2 linked regions of the Mus musculus genome follow. Each later gene encodes a partner of the first gene's protein in a complex. Links are inferred from orthologs where the notes say so. Each region holds a gene or a part of one and is shown on either strand. Other genes may lie near its edges. The genes, in order: Adgrg1 and Cd81.

The links.
Region 2: Adgrg1 (region 1) and Cd81 share a complex: the UniProt entries of both Homo sapiens proteins name them as parts of the GPCR-tetraspanin complex. The link is inferred for Mus musculus from reciprocal best matches to the Homo sapiens genes ADGRG1 and CD81.

The regions. Positions count from the first base shown.
Region 1 is NC_000074.6:94,974,154-94,981,045, reverse strand, and holds the start of Adgrg1 (adhesion G-protein coupled receptor G1 precursor), read right to left. Parts: upstream 3,938-6,892; 5' UTR 3,629-3,937; intron 1-3,628. UniProt on the Homo sapiens protein: Adhesion G-protein coupled receptor (aGPCR) for steroid hormone 17alpha-hydroxypregnenolone (17-OH), which is involved in cell adhesion and cell-cell interactions.
Region 2 is NC_000073.6:143,050,084-143,057,168, reverse strand, and holds the start of Cd81 (CD81 antigen), read right to left. Parts: upstream 4,420-7,085; 5' UTR 4,169-4,419; coding exon 4,103-4,168; exon of another isoform or gene 3,483-4,102; intron 1-3,482. UniProt on the Homo sapiens protein: Structural component of specialized membrane microdomains known as tetraspanin-enriched microdomains (TERMs), which act as platforms for receptor clustering and signaling.

The sequences.
Region 1 (6,892 bases):
TCAAGTCTGGGCTTGGGGTTCAAGGACAACATAGCAGATAATGTGGAATCAAGGCCCAGGACAAGATGTGAGCTGAGTCTGCCCAAGTCAAGTATGCCTGATTTCTGAGACCTTATTTGGAGTTCACTCTAGGTCCATGGGAATGGAGCCAAGCAGGTTCTGCCTAAATTTACCTGCCTCAGATTTCCAAAGCCCTAGGTTGCGGTCTGAGGCAAGTCCCATATCCTAGATGCTAGCAGAAATTCTTTAATCCCCCTCGTGGCCACAGCACTGTCCCTCTTCACCCCTTGTGCCAAATAGCAGTGGTAGACTTGTCATAAGCCATAGGAGTGGGTGGTGTTTTCCCCTACAGCCCTGCCAAGGGGTTTACACTAGGAGAGGGAAGGAGCCCCCTAGCCCAGTGTCATGGCTGGAACCAGGGTTTGACTTCCAGGACAGTTCCTTCCCCCAGGTCTCTCTTTCTGGCCCCAATGATGTTTGATGGCATGCCAACGAGAAGTGGTCTTGGTCCCCGGCATGGGCACACCACCTTTCTCCCTGTGCTCACCTCATTCCTGACTGCAGGGAAGAGACCAATCCAGTGTCTTGTTCCCTAGCCAAGTTCATGCTGGCTGCCTCCAAGGCCATCCCCCACTGACTGCCCTCAGAGGTGGGCATACCTGGTGCCCAGCTACCTGAGACAGGCAAACTGGTTAAGAACCGCCTGTTCATGTTGTGGCATGACGGAATGTCTGACCCTCAGTTTAGCCACCCCCGCTCCAAGAGCCCTCCAGTAAGAGGGCTGGATCCAGCCAGATCCTTGCTCAGAGAGTCACATGGGCCATGCCCCTGCCTCTCAGCATTCAGAAGCCCCTGTGCCCAAGGCAAAGATGAGCATCTTGAATAAGCCCTCACCAATCCTGTCACAAGTCTTGTGCCTGTTCTTCAGGATCCAGAGGCCTGGGGTCCTCCTGTGAGACCCTACCCATCTCTAAACAGAGGTCCCCTCTGCAGCCCAGGTGATCAGGGGGAGTTGTTATGATGAGGTCTTCCTCTCAGGGTGAAGACTTCCGCTCAGCCTCTTCAGGGTGTGACTCTCTGGCCTGTACTCTGCTCAGAAGCAGGCTGACCCACGGGAGCCACTGACTAAGCTTCCAAACCACTCTCCACGACACTCTAGTTCCTCCCAGTATAGCTCCAAAGCCCTCCATAACTGCCGTGAGAGTCTAGCATCAAATTGCTGGGCTTTGATCTTTCCGTGCCTCAGTGTTCTCATGTGTAAAAATGGGTACGGCACCCTCCTGACCACTGGGTTTGCTCTTGAGTGTGTGTTGAAATACATGAATGTGTGCATGTTTATGTGCAAATGGGGTGGAGGCCAGAAGTCAACCCTGTGTGTGTCTTCCTCCATCACTCTCCATCTTACGTGTTAAATGTTTTAAGAATTAGGTTGTGTGTCTGTGTCTGTGTCTGTGTGTGTGTGTGTGTGTGTGTGCGATAACTCACAGAAGTTGGTTCTCTCCTTGCCTCATGTGGGACCCAGAGGGATAACTCAGGTCATGAGACCTGAAAGAAAGTCCTTTAGCCTAAATATCTTGCTGGCCCTTCAAATTACTTTTGGAGACAGAGTCTCTCCCAAAGCCTGAAGCTCTCTGATTCAGCTAGACTTGCTGGAGACCCTCCTGTCTCTGCCTCTCTCGAGTACGAGCACAAACCACCAAGCTCAGCTTTTTACTGTGGCGCTGGGGAATCCAAACCCAGACCTTCATGCTTCCACAGCAAGCATGTTTGCCAGCTGAGTTATCTCCCTAGCCCCTTGAGGCTGCTCCTAAAATATCTCCAGTGTGCAGGAACAGAGGGACTTCGACCCTCCACAGAAGCCACCCTGCCTCAGCTAGAGAGCCAAGCATGGTCTGAGGTGACTAGCATTCCCCAAAAAGGCCATGTCAGCTGCTGCCAACTGTTTCACACTTGTGCCCGGTCTATGCCGCCCCTCCCCGGGTCCTGTCCTGAGGTTTGAGTGGAAGCTGCTCAGATACCAGAACTGGTCCAACTGTCTCTGATCAAGCAGAGAAGCATTATCTCCTCGGTACCAAGGCAGGCAAGGGAAGCCCAGAGAGGTTTAGGGACTACCCCACAAGACAGTACAGCCCCGTACGAAGAATGGGTAGGTCATTCCATCTTACGAAGAACACTATGCCAGGTCACTCACTGCCAGTCTCCAGGACCGGAATCTTGGTTGTGCCCTCATGTGCAACCACATCCCCTTCTCAATACATACACAGCACAGATGCGTTTGTGAGATGTTGGCTGGGGAGACTCACTTGGGAATTCACAGACACTCGTTTCCTCACCCAAAATCCCCCTAGACTGCCACCACCTCCTCCCCTTTTTCCCTCCCCCTTTTTCTTTCAATACAGCATCTCTCCACGTAGCCCAGGCTGGCCTGGAACTCAAAACCGATCTGCCTCATCCATCCTAGTGTGGCGATTACACCCCGCCCATCCCCAGCACTTCTCTTTTGATACAATAAAGAGCTGGAATCCTAAGTACTTTGTAGAAATCCCACAGAGCATGGGGCCCCCTAGCCCCGGAAGACCTTGCCCCCCCCCAACACCTCCTGCCTTCTGCATGCCCCTCTGCCCAGCTGCCAGGGAACCCCCCGGGGTCTCCCACTAAGTGCTGGGGTGCAGGTGGCGCAGGCGGCATAATGGAGTGATAACAGATGCTCATTAGCAGGGGCCCACCATGCAGCCCACACGCCTCAGGGAGTCAGACTGGCAGAGGCAAACAGCGGCGCCAGCCGCCCACCTTTGTCTGGTTGAGTGGGGGCTGTGAGCTAGGGCTGGGGGCTGGGCACTGGGGCTTTAGAAGCCATATATGATTTGACATCTGGGGGCCCGTCTATCTCCATCATGGTACAGCTAGGGACATGGGTCCAGCTGGAAGGAATGCCAGGGTCCCACCAGAGGCCATGGCAAGCCTGAACTTTTACCTATCTGGGTGCATCTTTGGGGTTACCATGTGGGGGAAGCAACTGGTAGGAGGTGTGCACTCTTGGGACCCCCTCTAGTGACTCTTGCAGACGGGGTGACAGACCTGGGCTGACAGGCATGGGGACCTGTGGCTGGCAGCAACAGAGAGACATATACATGAGCTCTATCTACCCTTTTGCTGGCTTACCAGGAAAGGCTGCCTGCCTCTTCCTCCTCAAAAGTCAAACAACCAAAGTGAGCTGCTGCTAAACCGGTCCCCCCACCCCCCGCCCTCCCCGCCCCCGTGGATCTCAGGAGGAAACTGCTTGGGAAGCACTAGGGACAAAGGGAAAAATGGGGTTCATGCCGCCAGTCCTCAACCACACGCCAGGGTCCAAGCTTCACTCTGGCCCTCGTGGCAGTGGTGCCCTTCTGAGCAAAGAGGGACACAGCTGGCCAACGTGTTCCAGTGCCCCCTCGTGAGCACGCCCAGCCCCACACTCTGAGCGGCAAGGAGTATCCTAGGACCAGCTAGAACCTCAAACTCAGTCGTTCCCTGGGAGATACGATCCAGCACACACTCGAGAACTCCCAAGCACTGCGCTAAACCTTAGACTAAGGTCAAGCGGGCCAGGCCAGGCGAAGTGCATGCCGTACCCGCTGCCCTCTCTTACCTCCGTCTCGCACTGTGAACAGCAGCGTCTTGCCTCCAAGCCTAGGCAGGCACTTCTGTTAACAGCCTTTGCTGCTAATGTCTCCTCCTCCTCCCAGGTGCCCAGCACCTAGTCTGAGCCTGTCTAGGCAGCTGTGAACTCAATCCAGGTGAGGCTCCGCCTACCCGGCTAGCTTCCGGTGCCAAGTGCCCTCTAAAACTCCTAGGTTTCCTAGCGAGGCTTGACAGAGTCTTCAGACTCCATGGACTTTGGGGATTTCTTCCCTAGACAGTAAAAGCTGCCCCGTGGGAGGCCGGGATCACGCTGTCTCTGGGCTTCAGAGACCCTTTTCAGGCTGTGGGAGGCAGGCCGCCACGCCCACACACACCTGCAAACTGCCAGCCCTTTGTGGCTTCTCCAGCCTCTTCAGACCATATCCTGTCTGCAGCGCCATTCACACCAGCCACAGGCTGGATACAGGAGGGCTCCGGGGCTGTGGGTGGGGCTCTCACAATATGTCCTGCTGGACTCAGGTGGGATCAGAGCAGGCAGAAGGTGAGGGGGCAGGAACTGGAGCTTTTTGCTAGGGATGGGAGGTGGCAGCTGCCCCAGGTATCTTGGAAGGGGGCCAAGGGGAGAAGTCCAGGCGAGCTCCACCAATGGAGAGAGGCCTCGTGCAGGCACTTCCTTCAGACCCTGCCACCCACCTCTCTTTCAATGCTCTTGCAATCAGGCACTAGTATGGGGGCGGGGTATGTGTGTGAGTCCTGATGCACACACCTAGCTCCCAACATAGAGACCTGCTGGCTGAGCCATACTTCCCTGAGGACGCCAATCCAAGCAGAAGCTGATCCTCTGAGCAAGGGGTATGAAACACTGTTGTGGGCCAGGCCCATGGGGTTGTCAGTCCCCTAGGATCTACCTCGCTTCCCTCCCCACCGGGCCCTCCCGCCATGTTTTTCCGCCACTGTGTTTCTTGCCCCTCAGGTCAATCCCCATGCTTGTCTTGTCTGCTTTTCCCCAGCAGTTACCAGAGCAGGGCCAGAATAGGGTCTGGTCTAGAGGGAAGATGTATGGCTAGTGAGTGGATAAGAAAAGATGGATGGATAGATAGATAGGTGGATGGACAGATGGACCAGCGGATGGATTCCGTCACATGTTTGTGGAAAGCCTGCTGTGATCCAGGCACTGTGCAGGGCATAGGAGCGACAGCTACAAGCCATATACTAAAATCCCTGCCCGCTCAAAGCTGCAGGGATACAGATCATAAATTTAATGAGCAATAAATATGAAATCTATCCAGAGCTATAGTAAGAATAATGGGGAGAAAATATGGTGAGGGGAGTTGATAAAGGAGCAGGGCTGGATTCACGGTGAGAAATGATGCTTGAGTGTAGACAGCATCCAAGGAGGCAGCCTACGGGGTACCAAGAGCAGAGCATTCTAGTGGATGGAAGAGTCTGTGCAAAGGCCCTGGGGTCGGTGATCCTGACTTTAGGGATGAGGAGGAGGAGGGTGCTCACTGCTGTGCAACTGAATGAAGGAACCAAAGACAGAGACGAGGCCACAGAGTTGAGAAGGATATCAAAAGGGAGCACCAGTCCCCTGAGATGACATAAGCACCTGTCTGCATAGGCCCCACTGGGACTCTCAATCCCGCCATAACCCCTTCCACGTGGGAACTTCTGGCTACAGGGTGGGCATGCAAACTTGCTCTGCCCAGCACAAACTGGATCTCTAGAACTGAGCAGATGGGGGTGGGGAGGAGCCAAGGAAGATGAATGTCAAAAAAAGGACCCAGAGAAAAAGCTTGACTACAGATCCCCATGGCCCCAGAGGCACTGTCTGCCCTGATAAGGACACAGGGGAGTGCCAGTGATTTCTTGTATCCCTAACTTGTGACACCCACACTTCACATCCTCTTCTATGTCCTCAGGGGCCTCGTCATGTGATATAGCTACCATTCTGTCACCTAATAGCAAGGACTGGTGCTAGAATCCCAGTCTTGAGCCCACTTTCACTGGGTTTCCTTGGAAAGGTTGCTTAACCTCTCTGTGCCGCAGGTCATATATCAAATGGGGACCCCTTCTTTTGCCCTGCTTGCCCTCCAATGATAACAAGAGTTGGAAAAGTAGTGAGCCCTGGCAGGGTAGGTAGGCACTGAGGAGCATTTGTGAGTCTGAAGGTATGGTCTCCTGGTGACCCAGACCATCCCCTAGTACAGTAGGTTAAGGAAATGAAATGTAACCAGAACCTATCCAAGTCTCAGACCTGCTACCTGCAGAGATGGATTGTAACCACCATAATCCGGGCAGCTAGACCTGAGCCAAATGTAAACTCTAGGTCACACCTGACTTCTCCTTCATCCTGGAGGGAGCAGCATCCTGGCCCTGAGGGGCAGGGTACACCCAAGCAAGTCAAGAGTCAGGCCCAGGAATAGGCTTGAAGTCACACCCAGGCAGCTGAACTCCAGAATCAGGCTTGTTCCCACCCATCACTGACGACAGAGAAAAGAATACAGAGCCCTCCCCTTCCTGGGTACCTCGTGAGAAGGTGAGGGAGTCCCCAGGTGTGTACCCCGTGTTTTCAAGCTTCCATGTTCCCTCTCAGAGCTGGTGGAGCCCACAAGGTCAGGGGGTGAGCTCCCCATCTCTGTGGAAAGCCATGGCTGAGCTCCTCTTGAACCTTGCGAAGGTGTTGGCTTCACCCACGGTGGCAGGTGTGAACTCAGGCAGGGCTTCTGACTGGGGCATTTTTCCCTAGTTCCTGTATTTATCCACTGAGCTAATATTTGCCTAGTAAGTCCTAGGTGCCTGGGCCTCTCTGGTTCAGAAAACAAACACCCTGTGGGGCGGGCAGTAGAAATGATGAGGTGGGGGTAGGGTGGGGTAAGGGGTGGGGGTGGGGATTGCTAGTTCAGACTGCCTGAAGCCCAGCCCCACCTGCTGTTCAGTCACCTCCCTCAGCCTCCTATGTGTGCACAGCAGGTGTTAGGGGCACCTTTCCAGGCTGTGAGGACTCCCTGAGAAGACACTCAGTCCCTCTCAATGGCTGACACATGTCTAAATACCCCATAAATGCTCCCCATCCCCAGTGCAGAGCAGAAGGTTAAGTTACTGGCTTTTGGCAATCCTCCCTGCGCTCAGTGCTGTTCCTGCTACTGAATGGAGGTGGTCCCCACTGCTTCCAGGGACAAGGACTGTCTCCCTATGGCCACCCCTGGCAGAAGCCATTCTTCAGGGGCATGTGGGTGTGTGAGCTCACTGCTCTAGAGCCCACCCCCAG
Region 2 (7,085 bases), on another chromosome or scaffold:
ACCAGGCTCTTGGCTTCGGTTACCAACTCAGTGCTATGGGGCTATAAAACTATGGGTGCCCTGGTTCTAATGCACTCCCCCCCACACACACTCCAGACTTCATATGAAGGAAGGCAGGTGCCCTCTCCCAACATCCCCTTGCAGTTACTTTGGTAGCCATTCCAGGATGCCCACCACCAGCTAGCTGCTCACTGGCCAACCCCTTGTGAACAGTTCCCTCAAAGGTTGAGCCCACTCAGAAGACCCCAAATAGTTTTGAATGGCATAGCCTATGCCCTGCAGCTAGCCAGGGAGAGTAGCTTAGACTGGATCTAGAAGTGATCTCTCTCTCTCTCTCTCTCTCTCTCTCTCTGTGTGTGTGTGTGTGTGTGTGTGTGTGTGTGTGTGTGTGTGTTTGTGTTTGTGAGGGAGGTACTAGGGGTCACAGTCAAGTCACTGGCATGCCAGGTCAGAGTACTGAACAGTTGAAGGCTACTGAAGGCCAGTTCTCAGGACACCTGGTTCTCTAGCAACAGTCCTAGGAACAAAATGGCCCTACCTATAGGGTCTCAGAGTCACCCAACACTCACACTCAGAGTCACCCAACACTCACACCGTGTCCTACCTGGTTCCCTGGCATCAGGGCCAGAGCCACAGGTACCTTGACTTCTCCATAACTCTGCCCCACCCTACGCCCTCTCTTGTGTACAAGGATGATTGCTCTCTCCCTAGGGCAGCTGGACTCTAAGGCTAGAGGTTTAATAACTGAGGTTCCAATCCCCTTGGCAGGACTCTGGGTTCTGGAATCAAGGTTGGCAGTTGTTGGTTCCCTCCTAGAGCATCACAGAAGCTCCGTTTGAGGTAGGACTGAGCTAGAAGGCAAGTGCCGAGAGAATGCCTAAAGGGTTCGGAAAGAATGGGGGTGGGGGCTCTTATTATGAGGTCGCAGTGTGTGGGCACCAGAGTAGAGGCTGCCAGGTCTACTCCAGCTCTGTGCCCCCACTGTTCGGATGTCCTTTTTTTGAAGCCAGCCCAGGGATGAACCACAGACTTCCCCTTTGCAGGCCAATGATTGTCTTTCCCAAAGCCGGGCGGAGCAGACAGCCCCAGGAGCAAGGGGCAAGTCACAGGAAGTGCTCATTCCACCCTGAGCCCACAGAATTAGAGCCCCTCTGCCGGAAGGCAGCCAGCAGACCACTATGTGACAGACAGTCACGTATGTGTGTTGCTGAAGCGAGCACAACAGACAGTCATGTTCAGTCTGGAGAATTAAATGCCAGTTGAGAGGCTGTAATCAGCCTTTTGTGGTGGGTCTGGCTGCCTGGGCTACTGGACGGGGGCCACCAGCAGCCTTAGGCTGGAGGAACAGCCTGTTCTGTCGGGGAACACAGTGAAGATTCTTCTCCTTAACTGACTACTCCTATGGAGACATTGTCACACAAAGCTCCTACAGACCCACCCGAGGCCATAGGCTGGCACAGTGATAAACCATCCCCTGCTCTCCTGCCCTATTGCCAGCCGGTGACTATTGCCAGAGGAGACTGGACCCTTAATCCCAGACCTGTCTCAGGGGATGAGTAACCACCCTGCTTCTAAGAGCATCTTACATGGTCTCTGCTGCTCACCGCTCATCTTTCAGGTTTGTGTCCTGCCCCATATATCTTGGGAGTCCAGAACTCTGCTGGCCCCAATATAGGTTCTGAACTCAAGCCCAAGGAGGACTGGTGGGAGTGACAGCAGGCAGGTTAGTGTGCCCGGAATGTCCCCTCCCACAGAGAAACCACTTTAATCTTCAAACTGGAAATTTTAAAAAGTGTCCATCGAAACATTTACTGTCAACCAAATCTCCCTTCTTAGAGCTCTTAGCCCCCGCCCCCACCACGGCCCAAAGGACCTCTCAGCCCCCTCCTTAGGCCCTTCTGACATCATTGCTCAGCTTCCTTTGGCCCCACTCCCTTTTGGAGACTGTGTCCAGTGTCCATTTCCTGAGCCTTCTCTGCTCCAAGCCCCTTGCCCCACTCTGGAGTACATTAGCTAGTCTACACACAATCCTAGGAGACAGAGACCCCCAAGAACTCCCACTTTAGAGGGAGGAAGTGAAGACTAAGGGCCAGAGTGGTGGGGTGGGGCTCCCCAAAGGTTCAATTTCATGATATCAGGGAACTATCAGCCACAGTACAAACCTTGCCACACGAGGGACAAAAGGAGTCCCTCTGCCAGGGTGGTGTCCACCAGTTGTAGCCTGGTTCTGCTCCACATCCCTATCCACTGTGGGGCCAACATGAGTAGGGAGGAGAGGTCTGTGGGATTGTGAAAGGCTACAGTTTTCACTGTTCTGCAGTCAGTAGGCAGGTCCCTGGGAGCAGGGAGAGGCTTCAGAACCGTTTCCTGGAGCCTCAATAGAGACCCCAGGGACATGTTGGGACTCCACCCCAGCTGCCTGGGAAACGAGCAGCTTCACCCAGCCTCAGCACTCCAGGGAGTCTGAGGGTCTAGCGCTTGGATCAGGTGGGTGAGCAAAAAAAGAAAAAAAAGAAAGAAAGAAATACCCTACAGGATCCTGACATCCCACATCTGAAGAATAATGGGGGTGGGGTGGGGTGGATAACACACTTCTTGAGGGTGCATTCAATTCCTTGCATGGTTCAGAGTAGGCAAGCACTGTCCAACATGACTACCCAGTCGAGACCCCAAGGCATGCCCGGGCAGAGCAAGTTTAACCCCATCGCCCATGCTGCTCCCTAGAATGTGTTCTCTGGAGTCACCGTGACTGACAATCTTGGTCCCTGCAGCACCGCGTGAGCATACATAGCCCCAGCTGAGTTCAGCCCAGTTCCTGCCCATCCCCAACGTCTTATTCCCCTCCACCCCACCCTGACCCGCCCTGGGATCTTCAGCAGTCCTCGATGGAAAACAGGTGTCCCCTGTCCAACACACTCACTCCAGGGGCCGTTGTACAAGTTTGCCCTCTCAGGAACAACTTTAGAGAAACATTGTCTTGGCATAACCTCATTTCTTCCTGGGAAGGAGGGTGGTGGGAACAGCAGTCTGTGCACTGCAGCAGGGAGGGTGGCACCACTGTCCAGAGGAGTGGCCAGCACTGCTCACTCAAGTGCCCGCAGGCAGGTCTGTTAAGACTCCCCATTCCCAACCCAGTTAGGAAATGGAAAGAAGCCCATACCACCAATGGCTACTCCCCAGCAGTGAAGACAGTCAGGACCCAGGGACACTTGGAGACCCTCTTATACCCATGTCTCCTTTCCAAGATGACCAAATGGGTGTGCACTTCTTTCCAAAGTGGAGAGCCCAGCTTAGATCCTGTATATAGGAAAAGATCCTAAGCTCCTGGTTTGTACAGATCCCAGATCTTTGCAACACCCTGGCCTTCACCAACTCAGAACTGCATACCCTCTTCCTCTCAGGATCTAAGGGTCAGGCCGGGGCTGTAATCTGTGCAGGAGACGACAGGCAAGGAGGAGGGGCAGCTGGGGGAATGGGGGTGGGGGTGGCCAAGAACTGGGGCACCGTGCGCAGCAGCACGCGGCCCGGGCTGCCCTGCCTTCTAGGCCTGGAGCTCGAGCCCCCAGGGTGGCAATACCAAGCTGGAGGGTAAGCAAGGGTGGAGTAATAGTGGGGTTGAGGTCTCCGAGGCAAGTACGGAGCGTGCCCCCACCACTTCGAGGCCGCCTATCCAGGGGCGGTGGCTAGGATGAGCTCATGGGGGCGGGGCGCCAAGATCCCGCCCTTCTCGACCCCCCTCACTGCTCGCGATGCAGGATGGTCCCCAAAACAACATTCAGGAGGGTGCGAGTACCCCCTTCATAGCTGAGGGCTCTTGATTACCTGGCTCTAGCCCGCAGACTCTTGCACCAGTTCCCAGCACTCAGAGGGGACAGGCCAGCGATCCCCTGATTTCCCGGCCCCAGAAGCCCCTCGAGCCGAGGCCCAGAAGCTCAGCCCTCGGCCTCAACCCGCTGGCGAGGGGCGCCAGGACCCCGATCGGCGCACGGAGCCCACAGGTGGCGCCGCAACTTCGCGGTTGCGCTGCGCCTTCTCAGCAGGGCCTAGCGCGCTGCCCAGCCTGGCTACCGTGGGGTGCGCCCTGTCCCCAGTGGCTGCTCACCCAGAAGACGAAATTGAAGACGAAGAGCAGGTATTTGATGCATTTGGTGCAGCCCTCCACCCCCATGGCGGTGCGCGGCCTGCGGAGCTTGGATTGGTCCTGGAGCGGGCGGTATGGGGACGCAGTACCGGGGTCCGGGACTGGCAGATAGCCTGGAGCGCTTGCGGGCCGGAGAACTGCGTTGCGGAGAATGAGACGTAGGGTAGAGAAGGGCTGGAGGCCTAGCCGGAGGCGCGAGAGTCACTATCTCTTTGAAGCAAGGACGCGCTCGCTCGGACCGGGCGCGCGCGCCTAGCTCCTCACTCTTTATAGACCTCTAGGTCCCGCCCCTCCGAGGCCCCGCCCAGAGGACGCTCCACCCCTGGCCCCGCCTTCCGCCCGCGGGGTGCCCGGACCAGGGGTACTTGGGTGGGTGCTGCCACCTCAGTCCCAGAGTAAGCGTTCTGGAACTTGGTGCAGCTGGTTCTTGGGGACTCGGTGCACTGTGCGTGCGCAGGATGAATCTCCAAGTTTCTTAAGGGTTCCCAACCCTCGGGGCAGGCTTCTGGGTCGCGACTAAGAACTGGCCACAAGATACTGCCCCAAAGAAGCCACACTTACTTCCTCCGGTACTCGGACGCCTTGGACTTTCCCGGAGGGTACCCTAGTGGAGGTGTCTCGACAGTAAAGAGTCTTAAAAGTTAACATGTTTTGTGTATATTGATCTCCCAGGCAGCAACTCCGTGGGCCTGAAGGTCTAGAATGGAATTCTTTGTAGCCTTGCTAATCCCCTATCTCACAGATAGAGTTCCTGGCTGCAGTTCTGGAGGCTGCATTTGGGAAGGTCAATAGTGTACCCAATGTCTTTAGCCAGTCTTTAGGCTCGAGAACCCTCAGGGGCACCTTCAAATATTCATGCCATCCTGGCTGTGCCTTCCAAGAGTCCATCCTCCATCCTCTAGCTGGTTCCCTGAAAGCTGGGATTAATAAGGAAGTGAGGAAAGATTCAGAGGGCAGAGGTGCTTCCTTCCCGGGTGAGGAATGGCTGCTGTCATCATAGATGATATTCCTGTGAAATCTTGGCATTCCCTTCCCCAAACTGAAGGGCAATGGGGCTGCTTCATTAGACTCACTGGGAACCATGGAAGGACCAGTTCCCAAGACTCAGCCTTTTCCAGGTCACTCCATGTTCTTAAATCTTTGAGCAGTTAAGGACATTGTTCCCTATGGAGATCACACCTGGCACCCCTCTGGCTACAGGACACTGGAAATATGTTTAAAAAGGAATAGATATACATATATATTTAAACAAAGGAAAGGAATATCTATAATATATATGTGGAGAGAGAGACAGACAGACAGAGACAGACAGACAGACAGAGAATGAGAATCTCACAATGTAGCCCTGGTTCCTGGAACAGAGCTCTGTCTACTTTTGCTTCCTAAGTGCTGAGACTGTAGGTTTAGGACACCATGCCCAGTTGTCTAAAGGGCGAAAATTTGAACTATGTATAATTTACATGTAAACCTGATGATTGGCCAGTAGCTGCCTGGGTGGAGCTATCTCTACTCGGCTAGGCTAGTAGGCTTCTTGAGAGTTAATTTGTGCATTTGTTTTGGCTTCAGGCTGGTATAGCTGCTACAGTGAAGGATTGTGTCCACATTTATAGTTCTTGGAGGCTGAAGTGGTGTCACAACAAAAGTAACACTAGTCACCAAATGCTGGAGTAATATCACACTAAAAGTCATTTGAGTCTCCAGGAGGGAGTCTCTTAGGATTCTTTTTATTTAAAAGTGGGCAAGAATAGTTCTTGCACGTGCAGAGATGGGGACCTGCTTTCTCTTCAGATCTCCACTGTCTCCAGTGATGGGGATACCTCATGCCTAAAGTGGGGTTACACATTGAACGTCATGCAGGGCCAGCTGTTTTGTTTATGTACTGTGTGATACATCTGGGTTTAGTGAATGCCATTGTGTTCCTGGAACTGTTCCAAGGGCTATGGACAGCCTAGAAACCAAGGCTGCTTCTTTGGGGCCCTTAGGTTCTGGTCACATACATGCTATGGAGAGAGTTTCCATGATGTTTGACCAATCATGGTAGGGAATTTTTTTGTAAAGCAGTTTTCCTCCAAATTAAAACATCCCTTTCTGGAGGGAAAGTATTAAGACTCCGGAAATGAACAACTAACAAGTTTTAGACGTTCCTGAAACTAACAGGTCCCTTCCTCCCTAAAGATACATAATTAGGAAGACAGCCCATGCTTTGACCTATTCAAGTGCCATTCTCCAGGGTTCCAGCTTTTGTGAGCCATCACCTATGCTGAGGTTTTTGGTGACACAGCTCCCTTTGAGTTGTCTCTGATGCTGTAAGTAACCCCTCACCCATACTTTTGTAAGTAACCTAAATCAACTAATCGGTTTACCAAGTTGGACTTTGGTAGGAAGCTCTTGGATCAGGAACAGATATGGGCAGAAGGCCAGACAGGTCTGAGTTAGGTGGAAGGCAGACTTAGGCTGCATTCTGTTCCCATTGAAGGGGTTGGGGTAGGGAACAATCTCATAGGCCCAGGAGACTTGCTGAGATGACTGGTTGGTTGCAAGAGTACAAGGGGTGCCTTGCAGAGCCTGCACCTGTGAGCACTACATCTTAAGTGACTTGTCCAACATCCTGCCAGCTGGCCTTATAAGGACATGGGGGAACCAAGTAGGTACCCAGAGGGTGCATCAGAAAATGTCCCCGGCGGTTAGCTCAGCCTGAAAATATCTCTTTTCTGGCTTCCAAGAAAACAGTGATGAAGCTCAAGCCCAGGATGGGAAGTTTCTATTTGCTTTCCCTTGTCCAGCAGGTGTGGGAAGATGGGAAGAATGGGCCTTCCTAGCCAGGGCTTGTCTCACAATTCTCCTGTCTGTATGAACTTGTACTGGCTTCTCAGTTTCCCCAAGTGTGACAGAAATGCTGCAGAAAGTCTCTAAGTACAGAAGGTCAATGTGTCCTTGTTACTTG